Linked DNA regions of Arabidopsis thaliana. The protein of the gene in region 1 interacts with the protein of each later gene in a biochemical or structural test. Each region holds a gene or a part of one and is shown in the gene's direction. Other genes may lie near its edges. The genes, in order: NUC, KIN10 and KIN11.

Evidence for each region.
Region 2: the proteins of NUC (region 1) and KIN10 form a complex in vitro, tested with the Arabidopsis thaliana proteins (one study listed by BioGRID).
Region 3: the proteins of NUC (region 1) and KIN11 form a complex in vitro, tested with the Arabidopsis thaliana proteins (one study listed by BioGRID).

The regions. Positions count from the first base shown.
Region 1 is NC_003076.8:17,770,278-17,776,504, forward strand, and holds NUC (C2H2-like zinc finger protein), read left to right. Parts: upstream 1-2,578; 5' UTR 2,579-2,813; coding exon 2,814-2,952; exon of another isoform or gene 2,953-3,358; coding exon of another isoform or gene 3,359-3,380; coding exon 3,381-3,777; intron 3,778-4,371; coding exon 4,372-5,236; 3' UTR 5,237-5,472; downstream 5,473-6,227. UniProt on the Arabidopsis thaliana protein: Transcription activator that binds to the DNA sequence 5'-CTTTTGTCC-3'. Regulates photoperiodic flowering by modulating sugar transport and metabolism. Regulates SUS1 and SUS4. Transcription factor that regulates tissue boundaries and asymmetric cell division.
Region 2 is NC_003074.8:30,505-36,946, reverse strand, and holds KIN10 (SNF1 kinase homolog 10), read left to right. Parts: upstream 1-2,459; 5' UTR 2,460-2,803; coding exon 2,804-2,869; intron 2,870-2,966; coding exon 2,967-3,159; intron 3,160-3,283; coding exon 3,284-3,468; intron 3,469-3,570; coding exon 3,571-3,753; intron 3,754-3,845; coding exon 3,846-3,977; intron 3,978-4,093; coding exon 4,094-4,279; intron 4,280-4,370; coding exon 4,371-4,460; intron 4,461-4,569; coding exon 4,570-4,653; intron 4,654-4,726; coding exon 4,727-4,864; intron 4,865-4,949; coding exon 4,950-5,186; intron 5,187-5,396; coding exon 5,397-5,510; 3' UTR 5,511-5,766; downstream 5,767-6,442. Other genes in the region: HYP1 (hypothetical protein 1), read left to right, coding at 73-371, 457-733, 820-1,095, 1,392-1,625, 1,806-1,934; AT3G01085 (Protein kinase superfamily protein), read right to left, coding at 6,125-6,135, 6,396-6,442. UniProt on the Arabidopsis thaliana protein: Catalytic subunit of the probable trimeric SNF1-related protein kinase (SnRK) complex, a central regulator of cellular energy homeostasis, which, in response to seemingly unrelated darkness, sugar and stress conditions, activates energy-producing pathways and inhibits energy-consuming processes.
Region 3 is NC_003074.8:11,127,410-11,133,918, reverse strand, and holds KIN11 (SNF1 kinase homolog 11), read left to right. Parts: upstream 1-1,813; 5' UTR 1,814-1,962; exon of another isoform or gene 1,963-2,110; intron 2,111-2,405; 5' UTR 2,406-2,408; coding exon 2,409-2,601; intron 2,602-2,730; coding exon 2,731-2,915; intron 2,916-3,009; coding exon 3,010-3,192; intron 3,193-3,287; coding exon 3,288-3,419; intron 3,420-3,516; coding exon 3,517-3,702; intron 3,703-3,777; coding exon 3,778-3,867; intron 3,868-3,952; coding exon 3,953-4,036; intron 4,037-4,119; coding exon 4,120-4,260; intron 4,261-4,396; coding exon 4,397-4,627; intron 4,628-4,912; coding exon 4,913-5,026; 3' UTR 5,027-5,299; downstream 5,300-6,509. UniProt on the Arabidopsis thaliana protein: Catalytic subunit of the probable trimeric SNF1-related protein kinase (SnRK) complex, a central regulator of cellular energy homeostasis, which, in response to seemingly unrelated darkness, sugar and stress conditions, activates energy-producing pathways and inhibits energy-consuming processes.

The DNA.
Region 1 (6,227 bases):
TTTATCAAAAACTGCTTTCATGTATAAAATTTATTAAACTCAGGGATTATTAGTAGTTAACAAATAAGAATAAGATAAAAACAGCTTATGAGTTTGTATGACTGTCAAAATGTAATGTAGAAGTATAGAATTCAAAGAAGATTAAGAACTCAAATTATAAAGAATAACTCTCTTTATTAGTTTAGGAAGATTCTCTCAAAACCTAAACTCTCTTAATCTCTCAAACTCATAAGTTGTATCACACCTTGATACCTCCTTATATAATAAGCTTTTAACCTTATCCTAATTATTAAATAACTCCTAATATTATAAGATAACTCCTAACAATATATTCTAGATTATCTCCTAGAATAATAAAGCTTAATTTCCTTTTCTCTTTAGTAACTTGCTCTTCAAGTTACTTCTTCTTCTTCAAGCTTATTCCAACAAGAAGAAGTTCAGATTGATGATATTCCAAAATAGTGATATATATTCGCATGAGATGTAAATGAATTTCGCAAAGATGTGAGACCAATACATTCTTATGTTTTGCGGAAGAGATAAAAATTTACTTTGTTAAATTACAAATATTTATGTATATACTTTTTCCAAAAGAATAATAAGCTTTGTTACTTGATACCACTTTCTTAAAGAAAAAAGAGGGGAGAAATTTTATCATCGAAAAGCAAGAAAAATTATACTTTTATCCACCATTCAATAAAGACACCAAATTTTCTTCTCAAATCGAAAAAAAAAGTGTTAGCAAAAAGAAAAAAATCCAAAAAAAAAATATTCATAAAACCAAAATGTTAAATAATAAATAAATAGGTAGGCGAATCAGTTTAAGAGTTGTAGGTTCTGAAGAGATTGATTTCAGCTAGCTTCATCGTAATAATAAAATTTCAACATTTGATTTTACTGTCGAACGAACTCTCAAGTCTGAATGAATGTCTAATTTATCTTAGGTATTTTTGTCGTATGTTGTTGGAGTATACCTAAAGAGCACGTGCATGGGTACACGTGCATGGCAGGCTTTGTTCGACTTCGACAAACAAGAGATGTGACCATAACCGTTGGATCTGTTTTACCTCTTTCACATATTGTGAAAAATTCTGATTCATGAATAACTAACAAAAATGACTATGTCCGTATATGATATCTGATGGGAGTGAATAGTGATCCCGTTAACTGTGTATTTAAACTGAATACAACTATTGCAAAGAAAAAGGTGATAGATAAAGTTATAATTTTCTTATTGATCACTAATGTCAATCAATTTTTTTAATACATTGTTTTGTTACTTATACTGCATACCTTCAAATTAATAAGCATTATAGAGATTGTGCAATTGATAAATCAGATTAATGTTTTTATTTGTTGGCAAAGCAAATGTATCTTATTGTAACTAGATATACATTACAATACTTTGTAAACATAATTCATTTAAGATAAAATTTACGGATATATAAAAACATATATATATATATATATACATATAACAATTTCTTTATGCTATCTGTATCAAAGTACTCCTTGAATCCAAAAAGATTAACTACACTCCACTACAGCCTCATCATTCTTTAGGCAGATTGATCGATGCATTTCGTATTATATACTCTACAAGCTTGAAAAAATCACAAGGCGTACACAATTTTGATCTCCCAGTAGTTTGTTTACATATGCGTAAAGCCCTTTCTAGTGCCTAATATTGTTGTATCTAGATTTTTGTTTATTTTTATTTTATTTTTGGCAAATGAACCTTTGATGCTACGAAAAGATCTTCTAATAAACTGTTCCTTTTGGTAAATAACTTCACATTTTATCCCCAAAAAAACATATAGAAAGAAGTGTAAAAAATAAAATAAAAAACAAAAAAAATATAGTAAGATTGTTTTTTTGCACTGAGTTAACATGAGCATGTAGGAACAAAAAGTAAGTAATTATTGGACCCAAAAAACCAGAAAAAAAAATGGAGAGGAAAGGGCAACACAAAAATAACGAGATAATCATTCTCAATAGAAAAGATAGAAATATCAACTTTCTATGTGTCATAACGCACTACTACAACAAAATTACTTCGAATATCTTGGTAATTTAATTACATTTTTTAACAGCTCGCTTCGAATTTGCAAGGCTATTAATCGATTTTTCTAAGATTTAATATAAATGAAGCATTTGATGCTGTATGATGCATAAATACATGATTATCATTTGTGAAAAAATGTAATTAAAATTACTCTTAGCAAATACCATGTCTATACAAAACTAAGGATGTATGAACATGAAATAAAATGAATCAAACTAAAAGAAAATTGTTTATTATATTGAAATAATTCATAGTGAAACTGCAAACATAGGGTGCCTATAAAGTAATCAAGGGATGTTAAATTTTTTCTATCTCTGCATTTTGAAATTTTATTGGCTCTGCTGCTATCACTTTCAGCTTATGATTTTCCACCGCCATCCACTTTGCTCTTTTAAAATAATCTCATAAAGGAAAAGAAAAATACAATTAACCACATATTTTAATCAAAATGGCTGCAACAGTTTAACATATCAAGGTGCTAATATACCCACACACACACACTTATATATAGGAGCTAATATAGAGTGGTATAGGTTAAGACAAAAGCCATATATAAGTGGAGAACCCAATATATCTTTGTCTTTGTTGTTTTTTCCTTCTCGTTCATAGTTAACTTGCAGATTTCTTAGTATTTCTAATCTTTTTCTTATATTAACCTTTTGTCTCCTTCTCTCTCTCTCTCTCTCTGAACTATACAAAAACCTACTTTTAATTTCTCTTCCAAGAAGTCAAGAACCCAGAAGAAGACATGACAAGTGAAGTTCTTCAAACAATCTCAAGTGGATCAGGTTTTGCTCAGCCACAGAGCTCATCAACCCTGGATCATGATGAATCTCTCATCAATCCTCCTCTTGTTAAGAAAAAGAGAAATCTCCCTGGAAATCCTGGTAATTATTTATATTAAATCTCAGCTAGCTTGATCATCACCTAAAAAGAAAACCCTAGTATCTTTTCTATTTTTTTGCCCCCTATAAATTAATTTTCTTGGGTTGTTTTGTTCTGGATCTTGACCTAAATCAAAAGTAGTATTTGGCTGCATGAGTTATAGATCACTGGCTCATGCTTAATTAATGTGAAAATACTAGGCCTTTTAGTAAATTAAAACTTTTATTTGATCTATAGAGTTCTTCTTTTTTAAATCGCATTATAGTTTCCATGAGAAAATATATTTACATACCCTTTATTATTATTACCTCCACCAAGAAAAGCACACACATTATTTTTACTAAAGTACATGATCCGATCCAAAAATAGATGTTGTTTTCCGAATTGACCTAATTAAAGAAACCACAAATGTTAATGATGATCCACTTAGATCCGGAAGCTGAAGTGATAGCTTTATCCCCCACGACCTTGATGGCTACGAACCGGTTCCTATGTGAGGTATGTGGCAAAGGTTTCCAAAGAGACCAAAACTTACAGCTTCATCGGCGAGGACATAATCTTCCATGGAAGTTGAAGCAGAGGACAAGCAAAGAAGTGAGAAAACGTGTCTACGTTTGCCCCGAGAAGACATGTGTCCACCATCACTCCTCTAGAGCTCTAGGCGATCTCACTGGAATCAAAAAGCATTTTTGCCGGAAACACGGGGAGAAGAAGTGGACGTGCGAGAAATGTGCTAAGAGATACGCAGTCCAATCTGATTGGAAAGCTCATTCCAAGACTTGTGGTACTAGAGAGTACCGTTGCGATTGTGGCACCATTTTCTCAAGGTACACTTTTTTTTCTTTCTCTGTCAATTAAATTAAAAATAAGCTTCATGTATATATGTGTTGTCGTTTGTATTGATCATGTTCGAAAGCTATTCTATAGTAGCTTTATAGTATCTACATCTTCGTTTTTGTCAATATGTAGTTTGATTAAGTTTTATAAGTATGTTTTGTCATTTCCTATGTGTTTGTTTATCTCTTTTGAAGTAGGGTAAAGTTTCTTGCTTGGGAAAATGTTTTTGTTAGTGTCATGATTGAGGCAAAAAGTGGTATAAATTTATAATAACCATGATGAACATATAACATAAGCTAGATATAATAATATATACAAATAATGGAGTACTTCATGTGTGTATGGTTCAAAATGGTAACATTATTTATTACTTAATATGCGGAAAAAGTGTCAACACAAGATTGACACATCAATAGTTATGTTACGGAAATATGTACTTAGGTTTTTCTCTACTTTTACTGCTGCACATAAAGAAAAGGCAGCTAAATGTTTTCAAGTATTTTCATCAGTTAAAACTTTGATATAAATGCATTGAGATAAATGTTGATTAAGACGTTAACTAATGGTGGTTTTGGTTGAAACAGGCGAGACAGCTTTATCACTCATAGAGCTTTCTGCGATGCCTTAGCGGAAGAAACCGCTAAGATAAACGCAGTGTCTCATCTCAACGGTTTAGCCGCGGCTGGAGCCCCAGGATCAGTTAATCTCAACTATCAATATCTCATGGGAACATTCATCCCACCGCTTCAACCATTTGTACCACAACCGCAAACAAATCCAAACCATCATCATCAACATTTTCAGCCACCAACTTCTTCGTCGCTCTCTCTATGGATGGGACAAGATATCGCGCCGCCTCAACCGCAACCGGACTACGATTGGGTTTTTGGAAACGCTAAGGCAGCGTCTGCTTGCATTGATAATAATAATACTCACGATGAGCAGATTACGCAAAACGCAAACGCAAGTTTGACCACTACCACTACTCTCTCTGCCCCTTCTTTATTCAGCAGCGACCAACCACAAAACGCAAACGCAAATTCAAACGTGAATATGTCCGCGACAGCTTTACTACAGAAAGCTGCTGAAATTGGCGCTACTTCTACAACAACCGCAGCGACCAATGACCCATCAACGTTTCTTCAAAGTTTCCCGCTTAAATCCACCGATCAAACCACCAGTTATGACAGTGGCGAAAAGTTTTTTGCTTTGTTCGGGTCTAACAACAACATTGGGTTAATGAGTCGTAGTCATGATCATCAAGAGATCGAGAACGCTAGAAATGACGTTACGGTTGCGTCTGCCTTGGATGAATTACAGAATTACCCTTGGAAACGTAGAAGAGTTGATGGTGGAGGTGAAGTGGGTGGAGGAGGGCAAACTCGGGATTTCCTCGGGGTTGGTGTACAAACGTTGTGCCATCCATCGTCTATCAATGGATGGATTTGAAAGAGTTTAAAAATTTCGGGGTTAATGCATAAATTACGTAAAAGAAGAAGGAATCTTTTGTCATTTCCACCATTTTCTAAGATAACATATGTATATGGTAATGGAAGTTGTTTTCTTTTATTAATTCAATATTCTAAAACTTATGATATATGTATAATGAATGTGTTTATCTTCAAGATATATGTCAATGACATTCACAAGACATTCATAATCTTTTGAATTTTTATCATACGGGAAGTACATTTTAAATGTAACCTTAATTTTTGTAAGTAATTACATAGGTATGCCATTAGAAATAAAATTTTAAAGAGTAAATTAATTTATCTCTATAAGGATTAAAAAGTCAAATACTAATTTAATTAATTAAATTAATTAAAAAACGAAATACATTATTAATTTTCAAAAATAATTGCCAATCAAAATCAACATATAAGATTTGATATCTAAATTTTAATTAATTTAATTTAATTAGAAAAACGAAATACATTATTAATTTCCAAAAAAGTAACCAATTAAAATCAACAAACTATATTTGGTATCTAAATTATCATATTAATTTTTTATTAATTATTATAGTTCATTTCTCATCTTTATATGATTCTATTTTTACGGAAAAATAATATCATCATTATAAAAAAATAATTAGAGTTTTTTCGCATATGCCATAATTTAAATTTTTAAAAACGAATATAAACTGTTCAATACATGAAATAATATTATAACGGGTGAAAAATATATTTAAGAAAACTTTCTACTGAGTAACGAGACATAAATTTGAAATATTTATATTCAATTTCATACATATTATATTGAAAATTTATAATCTTATATACTACAATAGTTAATAACATATTAGATGTGATTCAATTTTTAATACAAGCTGGAAAATCCTAGAATTGACGGGTTTATATCGATATTAATACAAGATGGTATACTACATGTGAAACTCTTAAATTAATAATCAAACTACAAGTGTATAATCTTAAACACT
Region 2 (6,442 bases), on another chromosome or scaffold:
AGAATTTGTCTTTTTGTGACTACTTGCATTCTTCAACATATTCATTCCTTTTTTTTTGGCAAACCCTTTTAGGAAGTTCCAGCTGCTTTTGTTTCCTTTAGGACAAGACATGGTGCTGCAATAGCAACAAACATTCAGCAAGGAATAGATCCAACACAATGGCTAACTGAGGCAGCCCCGGAGCCCGAAGATGTTCATTGGCCATTTTTCACTGCATCGTTTGTGAGAAGATGGATCTCCAATGTAGTGGTGCTTGTGGCTTTCGTAGCTCTTTTGATCCTATACATTGTCCCCGTTGTATTGGTTCAAGGTCTTGCTAATCTTCACCAGTTGGAGACTTGGTTCCCTTTTCTAAAAGGAATATTAAATATGTAAGTAAAGCCCTATTTAGATAAAGATGGTTCTTCGTTTCAATTGAACAATTACAAAATCTTCTTTTTTTTCTTATGATTGCAGGAAAATCGTGAGTCAAGTGATTACGGGATATCTTCCGAGTCTCATTTTCCAGCTTTTCCTTCTTATAGTACCACCCATTATGCTTCTACTTTCCTCAATGCAAGGATTCATTTCTCATAGCCAGATTGAGAAATCTGCATGTATCAAGCTTCTAATCTTTACTGTATGGAACAGTTTCTTTGCAAATGTACTGTCCGGATCTGCCCTTTATCGTGTTAATGTGTTCCTTGAACCTAAGACTATTCCTCGTGTGCTTGCTGCAGCTGTGCCAGCACAGGTAAAGAACACAAAATTCAGTATTGAGGTTTCCGGAATTCCCTTTTCGTACCACGAGTCATGTTTATTGTTTAATCTTTGGTGTAGGCATCGTTCTTTGTATCTTATGTTGTGACCTCTGGATGGACTGGTTTATCATCAGAGATCCTCCGTTTGGTTCCTCTTCTTTGGAGTTTCATAACGAAACTTTTCGGCAAGGAAGATGACAAAGAATTTGAGGTTCCTTCAACTCCTTTCTGCCAAGAAATCCCAAGGATTCTATTTTTTGGACTCCTCGGTATAACTTACTTCTTCCTTTCGCCATTGATACTGCCTTTCTTGTTGGTCTACTATTGTCTTGGATATATCATCTACCGCAACCAGGTAACGGAACCAATCTCACTCCTAAGTATAATTCTCTGTTGATCTCTGATAAAATCATATAGGAATCAGCTACACATATTTTCGTTATATGGAATCTCACTTTTATCTTCTCTTTATATGTGATCCCTTTTCTAAATTCTCGAATAGCATCTTTAAACCGAAAGTATTTTTTGGAGCTTCAGTCATGACATAAACGTTACATCAAGAATCCATTTTCTCGTCACATAATTCTTTTTCTTCTTAATGAATCCATTGCAACTTGTTGATAGAAATAACATCACCTTTTTGTGCTGCAGCTCCTAAACGTATATGCGGCCAAGTATGAAACTGGTGGAAAGTTTTGGCCAATAGTTCACAGCTATACTATCTTCTCTTTGGTACTAATGCACATTATTGCAGTCGGATTATTCGGGCTTAAAGAGCTTCCAGTGGCATCTTCTTTAACAATTCCCCTTCCGGTTCTCACGGTCCTTTTCAGCATTTACTGCCAAAGACGGTTTTTACCAAATTTCAAATCTTATCCTACCCAGGTAAAGGCTTTAGAGAAATAGTTACTCATATTTTTGATCCAATGGAAGAAAAATATGGCTAGATAATCTTTTATTCCTAACCTAAACAAAACAAACAGAACATGATGCATAGTCCTTTATTACATTACAGCATCTACTCTAAACCTTTATATGGTGATGATGGATGTTTTACTTTTGCAGTGTCTGGTAAACAAAGATAAAGCAGACGAGAGAGAGCAAAACATGTCTGAATTCTATTCGGAACTCGTTGTTGCTTACCGAGATCCTGCACTTTCGGCATCACAGGACTCGAGAGATATCTCACCTTGAGATCACCTTTTTACTTGAGCTATTGAAGTTTGCTTATGTTGAAGCTGTTGGTTTACTATACCTGGTGCAATCCATGAAAGAACACACTAAACCGGTTGTCTTGTACATTGGGTCTTAACCGAGAATCAAGCGGTTTTTGTCTTGTACATTTGCTTACACTTGGCTTGTGTAAAAAAGAAAAAAAGTTTATGTCAATGTATCTCTCTAAACCGGTTTAAGACGGTACAAACTTTTTGAAAGATGCCAAAACAAAACGGTGGTTAATAATTTTACCACAGAGAATATTTAGCAAAAAGATGATGACTAGATGCCACGTCCGCATGGGGGTATATATTGTAATTAGTCGTAACTCTGGGGGTAATTTAGTTAAAGATTGATCCGTTTATGGAACCAAAAATCAAATAATTTCGTCTTTGATACTTGCTTGCGCCTTATAGGCTACAGGAGCGAGAGCAATGAAAGCGAGAGGAAGAATCTATCAATAATTTCTGGGTTTAAGCTGATCTCTGGATCTTCCTCAATTTTACTTTTTCAGCTCAGAAAATTTTGGGACTTTTTTTTGCTGCATTTTTTGGTTCCGAATTTTCTCCTCCGCCTTTTTTAATTTTTGGTAAGTTTCGATATCTCTCAATTTTCTTATTTCGGAAATAAAAAAAATTCTCGCCCTTTTGCAAATCAATGGATTGATCTTGAAATCGTCATTTCTGAATCGGGTACGAGAGATCCAGTAATCCTCTGCGATTGAATTATTATTAGGGTTCATATTCCGAATTGGGGATAGTCTGAAAATTGCTATTTTAAGCTCTCTTCTTAGTGTTGGTTGGTTTATTCTGGATAATAAAAGGGATCCTAATTCTCGCTAAATTCTCATGTTCAAACGAGTAGATGAGTTTAATTTAGTTTCTTCAACGATCGATCACAGAATCTTCAAAAGTGTAAAAATTACTTGCTTTTTGTTCCTATTACTCTTTTGCAGTTTGTTTTGTGTGTTGTGTACTAGTAGATCTAATATCTCTCTCTCTTTTTTTGTAGAGAATGGATGGATCAGGCACAGGCAGTAGAAGTGGGGTAGAATCGATTCTACCAAATTACAAGCTTGGGAGAACTCTTGGTATTGGTTCCTTTGGTAGGGTGAAGATAGCTGAGCATGCATTGACAGGACATAAGGTTGCTATCAAGATCCTCAATCGTCGCAAAATCAAGAACATGGAGATGGAGGAGAAAGGTACAAGTTTTGTTTTGTGTATCCATTCCACCTTAGTTGTGACTTCACGGTACTCTTGGAATATATAAATATATAGCTTCTTTTTCGTCTTCCTTCCTTTGAACTTATTTGGTCTTTGATGCAGTGAGGAGAGAGATCAAAATCTTGAGACTATTTATGCATCCTCACATCATCCGTCTCTATGAGGTTATAGAGACTCCCACAGATATTTATCTTGTCATGGAGTATGTGAACTCTGGTGAGCTATTTGACTATATTGTTGAGAAGGGTAGATTGCAGGAGGATGAGGCGAGGAACTTTTTTCAGCAGGTATGTTTTTATTTTATTTTATCAACATGTAACTTTCCAAGCAACCATTCGATTTTATATTATATTTGAGAGTTAAGAATTAGCTACTTGGCTTTGATGTAGATAATATCAGGAGTGGAATACTGCCATCGAAACATGGTGGTTCACAGAGACCTCAAGCCTGAAAACTTGCTTTTGGACTCTAAATGCAATGTAAAGATTGCTGATTTTGGCCTGAGCAACATAATGCGAGATGGTCATTTTTTGAAGACAAGTTGTGGAAGTCCAAATTATGCCGCTCCAGAGGTAAGTGCTTCAGCCCTCAGGTATCTGAGGAATACTATAATTAGGCTTGTTTCAAATGATAGGTTATAGTCGAGATCTATAAATTGTTTCAGGTAATTTCGGGCAAGTTATATGCTGGCCCTGAAGTAGATGTCTGGAGCTGTGGTGTGATACTCTACGCTCTTCTCTGTGGGACGCTTCCATTTGATGATGAAAACATTCCCAACCTTTTTAAGAAGATAAAGGTACATTCTATTACTCCTCCTCTTTCGTCTATTTGAACTAATGCTTGAATTTTTTATTTTATTTTTCGTATCACCCTTCGACTGTAACCTTTTTTTTTTCTCTTTTCGTCCTATAGGGAGGGATATACACATTACCTAGCCATTTATCTCCTGGTGCTAGAGATTTGATCCCCCGGATGCTTGTAGTTGACCCCATGAAACGAGTAACCATCCCTGAGATCCGGCAACACCCTTGGTTCCAAGCTCATCTTCCGAGGTATTTAGCTGTTCCTCCTCCAGATACTGTGCAACAGGCAAAAAAGGTAAGCCTAACGTATCTACTCTTATTTTCATTAGAGAAATCTCTATTCCCATTTTTCGATAAAGGCGTAAAAGCGCTGTCTTCATTTGTAGATTGACGAGGAGATTCTCCAAGAAGTTATCAATATGGGATTTGACAGAAACCACCTCATCGAATCGCTCCGCAACCGAACCCAGAATGATGTATGTGTTTCCCACCCACTTGTTCTTTTGCTGTTTCTTTCATTTCAAAGATTAAAAAAAATTCCATCAAAAGATCTTAAATACTGTATTCTTACCGACTGTCTTCCAGGGCACTGTGACGTACTATCTGATACTGGACAATCGTTTCCGTGCCTCTAGTGGTTATCTCGGGGCTGAGTTTCAAGAGACCATGGTTAGTCTTTTTTGTCCTTTTCGACTTTAGCAAAAGATCTTTGACGTAATGCTTCATTGTTTGATTTAATCAGGAAGGTACTCCCCGTATGCATCCAGCAGAAAGCGTTGCTTCACCTGTTAGCCATCGGCTTCCAGGACTGATGGAATATCAAGGAGTTGGCTTGAGATCTCAATACCCTGTTGAGAGAAAATGGGCTCTTGGACTTCAGGTTTTGATATTTTCTGTATTTATGGTATAAAGACTTCAGCTTTTGATATATATGTGATTAATATTGTAACAATTTGATCGCACAGTCTCGGGCTCATCCCCGTGAAATAATGACGGAAGTCCTGAAAGCCCTGCAAGATTTGAATGTATGTTGGAAGAAGATAGGGCACTACAACATGAAGTGCAGATGGGTTCCTAACAGCAGCGCAGATGGTATGCTCAGTAACTCGATGCACGATAACAACTACTTTGGAGACGAGTCCAGCATAATAGAGAACGAAGCAGCTGTTAAGTCGCCCAATGTTGTCAAGTTTGAAATTCAGGTAAATCCTCTTCTCCACTTCATGATACATATCGGTTTCCCGTACGACATTGTTTCTGATGTGTGATTTCGAGTGAAAGAAAGCTTTGTGTATTAGTGTCCATGGCCATTTTTGTAACTGAATTAGAACTAGAGTGAATCTTCATGAATCTAACTATCAATCAATATTTTCTGGGCTTGATGACGTTTGTTATTGTTGATGGTGAAACAGTTGTATAAAACTCGGGACGACAAGTATCTACTGGATTTGCAGAGAGTACAAGGTCCTCAGTTCTTGTTCTTGGATCTGTGTGCTGCTTTTCTTGCTCAGCTCCGAGTCCTCTGAATACTAAACCGGACCTCTTCAAGAATAATCCCCACTTATTCCTTTTTTTTTTTTTTTCTTATTCGTCTAAGAAATTATTTAGAAAACGTAACCCTTTTTTTCTTCTTCTCTTTCTTTCTATTTCTATATGCGTGCTCTACTCAAATACCTCTTTTAACTTAAATGTAAGACTGAGCAAGAGTAAAAAAAAGACACTTTGTACATAACTTGTAGTGCATCATGCCACCAAGATTGATTTTTGTTTTTGTTTACTCCATATTTCTTATGATTAAAATCAATAAGTTAAGGGAAAGACATTTTGACAAAAATTGAAGGAAAGATGTTTAAATTAGTTTCATTGAAAACAAATTAGCAAATTCAGAAGTAGTTGTTTTTGTTTCGTGTATTATTTGATGGGTCAATATTACACTATATTTTTTGTGTAAACAAATTAGCAAATTCAAAAATAGTTGTTTTTTGTTTTTGTCATCCTACTAATATTAAGACATTGAAAAACGAACATTTAGGATGAGCTTGATGTGTTTATTTCGAACTAAGATCCAAAAACTATACAAACTCAAAAACAAGCCCAAAAAGAATTTCAAAAGTTTCCAACGTGTGGTTTTACCTACCAGTTAATCTTCTCCTGCAAAAAAAAAAAAAACACATCAAGTGTGAGATAAACTCTCACAAAAATACAAGGAAATTTGTAATAATAATAAAAAAAGACACAATTATCTTTTGGTAAACCTGAAATTGAATAATTTCACACTGACTTGGGCTTTTTTTTTTAAATGAAAAATTAAACAAATATGGACTACAAATCATGATGGTAGGTAAAAAATGTATATATATCTTTGGCTAAAAATTCTGGTAATTTAATTCGCTTTTTCCCCAAATTTTAACCTCTCTCTATTCGTGGTGGTCTTCGAACACCAACTCTAACATCACTT
Region 3 (6,509 bases), on another chromosome or scaffold:
TAAAAATTTACTGAAAGTAGAAATGAAAATGTCAAATATGAAAGGGTATAACTGAAAAAGGTAGTGTGAAAAGGGCATTCTCAGCAATTATTCTACATTTGAACTATCTATTTTATCTTAATAAACTGTTTTAATTCTATAGACTACATCCATCTTATTGATGATATTTAAATTTTAAATAATAATTCATATACTTTTCAGTATTTAATTTAGTATTTCCTTAAACCAAATTTCAATCTTACATATTCAATTTTGCAATACAATTTAAATATCTATTTTATTATATAAAAATACAATTTAATTCGATTCCATACAATTCATATACAATTTGATTTTGCAATACAAATACAATTTTATTCTATACACTCCATCTTATTGTGTTAGTTTTCCTTCTTAGTTAAGAAAATTTTAAGTTAAATTTTTCGATATAGAAATATAAATTGGTATATGTATTTGTTTTTGTTAAATTTCCTATTTCTTTTAGAAAAAATATTTAAAAAATCTCGATTTTGCAATACAATTTAAATATCTATTTTATTATATAAAAATACAATTTAATTCGATTCCATACAATTCATATACAATTTGATTTTGCAATACAAATATAATTTTATTCTATACACTCCATCTTATTGTGTTAGTTTTCCTTCTTAGTTAAGAAAATTTTAAGTTAAATTTTTTAGATATAGAAATATAAATTGGTGTATGTATTTTTATTGGTTAAATTTCCTATTTCTTTTAGAAAAAATATTTAAAAAATCTCGATTATGCAATACAATTTAAATATCTATTTTATTATAATACAAATACAATTAAATTTGATTGTATACATTTCAAATACAATTCGATTTTGCAATACAAATACAATTTAATTCTATACACTCCATCTTATTGTTAGTTTCCCTTCTTAGTTAAGTAAACTATAACTTATTTTTTTTAGATATAGACATATAAATTAGTATATGTAAATATTTGTTTTTGTTAAATTGCCTATTTCTTTTAGGAAAAAAGTAAAAAAAAATCCGACACAATATCAACATATGAACGATTGACTTGTTACGTGTCACGATCAGTTGAGTTATTAACTTTAAAAACTCTACTTTATATAATAAAATGCGTCTGAAACTTCTTAATTTATCCGCTTTATCATTAGCACGCTTTTATATATAGAAAACTAGATTTTAACCCGCGGTATACCGCGGAGACAATTTATTTTTTAAAGTTACTATATATAAAAATTTGCAAATTATATTTATCTATAAAATATTTTTATTTTATAGTTTACGATTGTTATTAAGTAACGTCCTGTCAAACCCGTCCCGCCAATCCGTCCCGTAAAAAAAATTCACTGATTTTATTTATGATATGTTTATGAATCATTGTCTAAATATTTTTTAATTTTGTAGTAATTAAATGCTATCTAATATCTCTGCGGTTTGATGATTATAATCGAATTATTATAGTCATGTAGAAAAACAATATCAAAAATGATAATTTTGTAGTAATTAAATGATATTAAATATTTCGGAAGTTTTATTTTAGTAACTAATCGTGTAGTTAATGTGGAAAGATTTTGGGAAGATTGTCAAATATTTAATTTAAAGATTTTCTTTCTAATTATCAAAAACAATTATTAAATGCGAGTGGCAGCCACTGTAAATAAACTCCAACTCTAGGATTTATTTCACAAAGTGGCTGCAAAAATGTATATATAGATCATAAAAACAGTAATATAAAAATTTTAAACCTTAAAAAACTAGTTTTTCAAACAAAAACAGAAAATGGGCAAAAAGGCCCTAATTTAAGGGCTTGCAAATGGCAATAAATGTTTATCTGGGTTTTGTGGTTTCTTGATTCGTCATTACCAATTTTCACCATGAAGACTTAAAAAAACCTGACTCAGCTCTGCGTCACCTACGAGTTGGAAATCTGACTTCCCCAAGAATTTCTTCAGATTACATCGTAATTTACAATTCTGCCCTATTTATACCCATCAATCTGATTCTCCTTGTTTCTGTATATTTCTTCGCTCTTTGTTTGAACAATTTATCTGGGTTTTTGATTCTCGGATCTACTCCAAGACGGTTTTCGAAATTAACAAGCTTTTCAGGTAAATTGACTTTTTTTTCTTTGTAAAGGTTTATCAATTTTGTCTTCTAAACTCAAACTTGTGAGTCTCTTGTTTGGTTTCAGACCAAAACCACCATTACAAAGTAGTTATGTCGGTGGTTCTTGTCAGTTTTCTTACAAGCTTATGGTTGGTTTAGATTAGATTTGATGAAATGAAAATTGAGTTGAAGAATGTTTTTTTTTATTTGAGCAAGTTAATATGTTTACTGATGTTTTTCTATAGAGAAGTTGCTAAGAGAGCTTACTTATGAGTTTGATGTTGAATTGGGACACAGGAAATGGATCATTCATCAAATAGATTTGGCAATAATGGAGTGGAATCGATTTTACCGAATTACAAGCTTGGTAAAACTCTTGGAATTGGGTCTTTTGGGAAGGTGAAAATAGCAGAGCATGTTGTCACAGGGCATAAGGTTGCTATCAAAATCCTTAATCGTCGTAAGATCAAGAACATGGAGATGGAAGAGAAAGGTATATACAAGCACCGTTACTTTTAGCTTTAGTGGTTTCTAGAACAAAAGCTTTGATAATCAAATGTTTCTGCTTATTAGGTTTTAGTATGTATTTTTATCTTAATGTATGTATATTTCTTCTTTACAGTGAGGAGGGAGATTAAGATTCTACGGTTGTTTATGCATCCTCATATTATTCGGCAGTATGAGGTAATAGAGACCACGAGTGACATTTATGTTGTGATGGAGTATGTCAAGTCTGGAGAGCTCTTTGATTATATTGTTGAGAAAGGCAGATTACAAGAAGATGAGGCTCGTAACTTTTTCCAGCAGGTTTGTTTTCTCTTTACCATAACCAGTGTGTTTGTAGCGTATCATGTCATCTTTGAGTTTGAGTGTTGTTTGTGTTTGACTCATATCCGAATAGATAATATCTGGTGTAGAGTACTGCCATCGTAATATGGTTGTCCATAGAGACCTGAAGCCTGAGAATTTACTATTGGATTCGAGGTGTAATATTAAGATTGCAGACTTTGGGTTGAGTAATGTTATGCGGGATGGTCATTTTCTAAAGACGAGTTGTGGAAGCCCCAACTACGCTGCTCCCGAGGTATATAGTTTAGTAAAGTTACTGAATTGTTTTTCACCTATGTGACTATGTCTCGTTTCTCTTATGAGTGTCTTATCTCTTACTTCTTGTTGTAGGTTATATCAGGTAAATTATATGCTGGACCTGAAGTAGATGTATGGAGTTGCGGAGTTATATTGTACGCTCTATTATGCGGTACTCTTCCTTTTGATGATGAAAACATTCCCAACCTTTTCAAGAAAATTAAGGTACTGTACGTTATACTTTGATTCAGCTAAAAGACTCTTCTTAAATGGATTCATATGTATGTGAAGTAACTTATCAAGGTGTTTTTTTTCTCTTTAGGGTGGGATTTACACTCTTCCAAGTCATTTATCATCTGAGGCTAGAGACCTGATCCCAAGGATGCTTATAGTTGACCCGGTGAAACGAATCACCATTCCTGAGATCCGTCAACACCGTTGGTTCCAGACTCATCTCCCTCGTTATCTTGCTGTCTCTCCACCGGATACAGTAGAGCAGGCTAAAAAGGTTGGTTTCAGTGCCATTTGGAGATTAATAGAGTTCACTTGCTGTGATAGTAACAATATCTCTTATGTTTTGCAGATCAATGAGGAGATAGTTCAAGAAGTGGTTAACATGGGATTTGATAGAAACCAGGTTTTGGAATCTCTACGCAACAGAACACAAAACGATGTATGTAGTTTCCTGTCTCTAATGCTTTTAATCCCCGAAACTAGTTTCCAATAGTCACTGAAATGCCATTTGCTCCTTGTACCAGGCTACTGTTACATACTACCTGTTATTGGATAACCGGTTCCGTGTTCCAAGTGGCTATCTAGAATCCGAGTTTCAGGAGACAACAGTATGTGTTTTTCTTTCCTCTCAGTAGATAGCTTTCCAACATTTTTGACTAACATGTTCACCTTTTCAACGTTACTCATCTAGGACAGTGGTTCCAATCCTATGCGCACACCTGAAGCGGGCGCTTCACCTGTAGGCCACTGGATTCCTGCACATGTGGATCACTACGGGTTGGGAGCAAGATCACAAGTCCCTGTTGATCGAAAATGGGCTCTTGGACTTCAGGTTTGTTCCTGATTACTGATTCTTTTTGTTCCTCACCATAAAGTCTTCTGAATGCAACACACAATCAGATATCTGTACTCTTTGCCTCTACATAGCCAAATCGATAATCATTCTGTTACCTTGTTGTTTTGAACAGTCTCATGCGCATCCTCGTGAAATCATGAATGAAGTTTTGAAAGCTCTTCAAGAACTCAATGTGTGTTGGAAGAAGATTGGTCACTACAACATGAAATGTCGATGGGTTCCTGGTTTAGCTGATGGTCAGAATACTATGGTCAACAATCAGCTGCACTTCAGAGATGAATCCAGCATCATTGAGGATGACTGTGCCATGACTTCACCCACTGTCATCAAATTTGAACTTCAGGTAACTATAAACTCACACATACATTTGTATCAACAACATTCCTTGGAGAAAATAAACAACTGCCTAGTTCGGTTTGTTAGGGATATGAATCGATCAACGGGGTTTACATTCGTAGAATTGTGCTGGAGCAAAGACTAAGATCCTGATGTTGTTTTATCCCACTAGTAGTAGTTCAACAAAACTAAACCAGCTAGGACATAGACTAAAACCTTCTTTAGAACTTGAACCAACTGTTTTCGAAGAACAATTATACACTTTCTGAGTTCACTTTTGATTTTGAAACAGCTATACAAAGCCCGGGAAGAGAAGTACTTGCTGGATATACAGAGAGTTAACGGTCCGCAGTTTCTCTTCTTGGATCTATGCGCCGCCTTTCTTACAGAGCTTCGTGTGATCTGAATGTTTTAACCATTTGTTGAGACATTTTTTTTCTTTCATGTTCAATGGTTTGTAATAGTAGAGAACATAATATAATATGTGGGTGCAGTGTTTACTTTGCCGGGTTACTTTTATATACCTGGATTCTAAGTTAAACTCTACTGTAATAGTAACTATCCTTTCTTCTTTTTGATGGTTTTTAAGGTTTGATCATGTGTACATAACTTAGCTGTTTCATTCTAACTATTGTATTTCTCCTCTGATGCCAATTTTATACAACGTTTATATCAGACACATTATACATGTCATACCTAAAAACATTGCACGCAGAGTCCATCAAAATTCCATTTCACAAAATTCGGCTACCCAACTTAAGTCCTTAGCATCAATACAAGATGTGGAACACGATATTAATACAGAACATTGGAGAGCTACTTTGTGTGGACAATGCTTCTTGCAAAAGGAGTAAATAGGTCGCCGTCGGACAATAATATATCGGGCTTCAAGGATAAGTCCACCCCAAACATACATTGAATGTGTAGGGTAACACTACAGTACTCATCACACATAAAACCGCTCCTTCGGATTTATTTTGCTGATTTTTCATCATCAGTCGGTTCGGACCGCAAACTTCACACCAATACATCGTTGTACTTATCTCATCCCCATAAGAAAGAGTGAACATATGTTTATCATGCTTATACATTACCTTATGAGGTAATGTAGCACATTTGAAACACAAAGAAAAGTAGTCACACTCAATGCAATTGAATGTTTCCTTTCTGGAATAATGTCCTAGCTCTTTGCAAACTGAAAAATGTCTTCGCTTCTCTCCCGGTTTGGTTGTTAGGAATAAAGGATGCAAATGACTTGGATGGACTAGTGGCTCAGAAATCTTGGCGCATTGCATGTGTAGCAGAAAACAACATCATTCTTTACTACATTCATAGAAGAAACCAGCTTTACACAACCAAGGACAAGCAAAACATGTATCCTTATGATAGTCCATAACACCGTCATAAATTTCTGCCACCTTCGCAGAAAAAGTGTGTATAGCCTTCTTCTCCTGGTTGCCTAAATTTCTGCCAATTTAAGGAAAAACACTTCCACTTGTTATTCGTGGGCCGCAAGACTTCTCCAATCACATGGATTATTCCTTCTTTAAAAGTTACTTGTGCTTGAGGGCAAACTGAAATAAGTTTCTTCAACTTTGAATTTTTGAGATGACGAGGGAGAATATATTGGGCCTATGGGCTTAGTCGGTTTTGATATTTAGAATAGGTTAACTTTATGCTCAAGTTGTAACCTATATATAAACCAAGCAATGTAACCTAAAACCCTAAGAGATTCAGTTTATACAAACAAGAGTTTCTTGACATGGTATCAGAGCAAAACCTAAACTACTCAAGGGTTTGTTCGATTCTATGATCTAAACTTCCGCTAAAACAACTCTGTTTCTTATTTTCTGTTTTTTAAAACTATCTCACAAAGGAGAAAATCATGG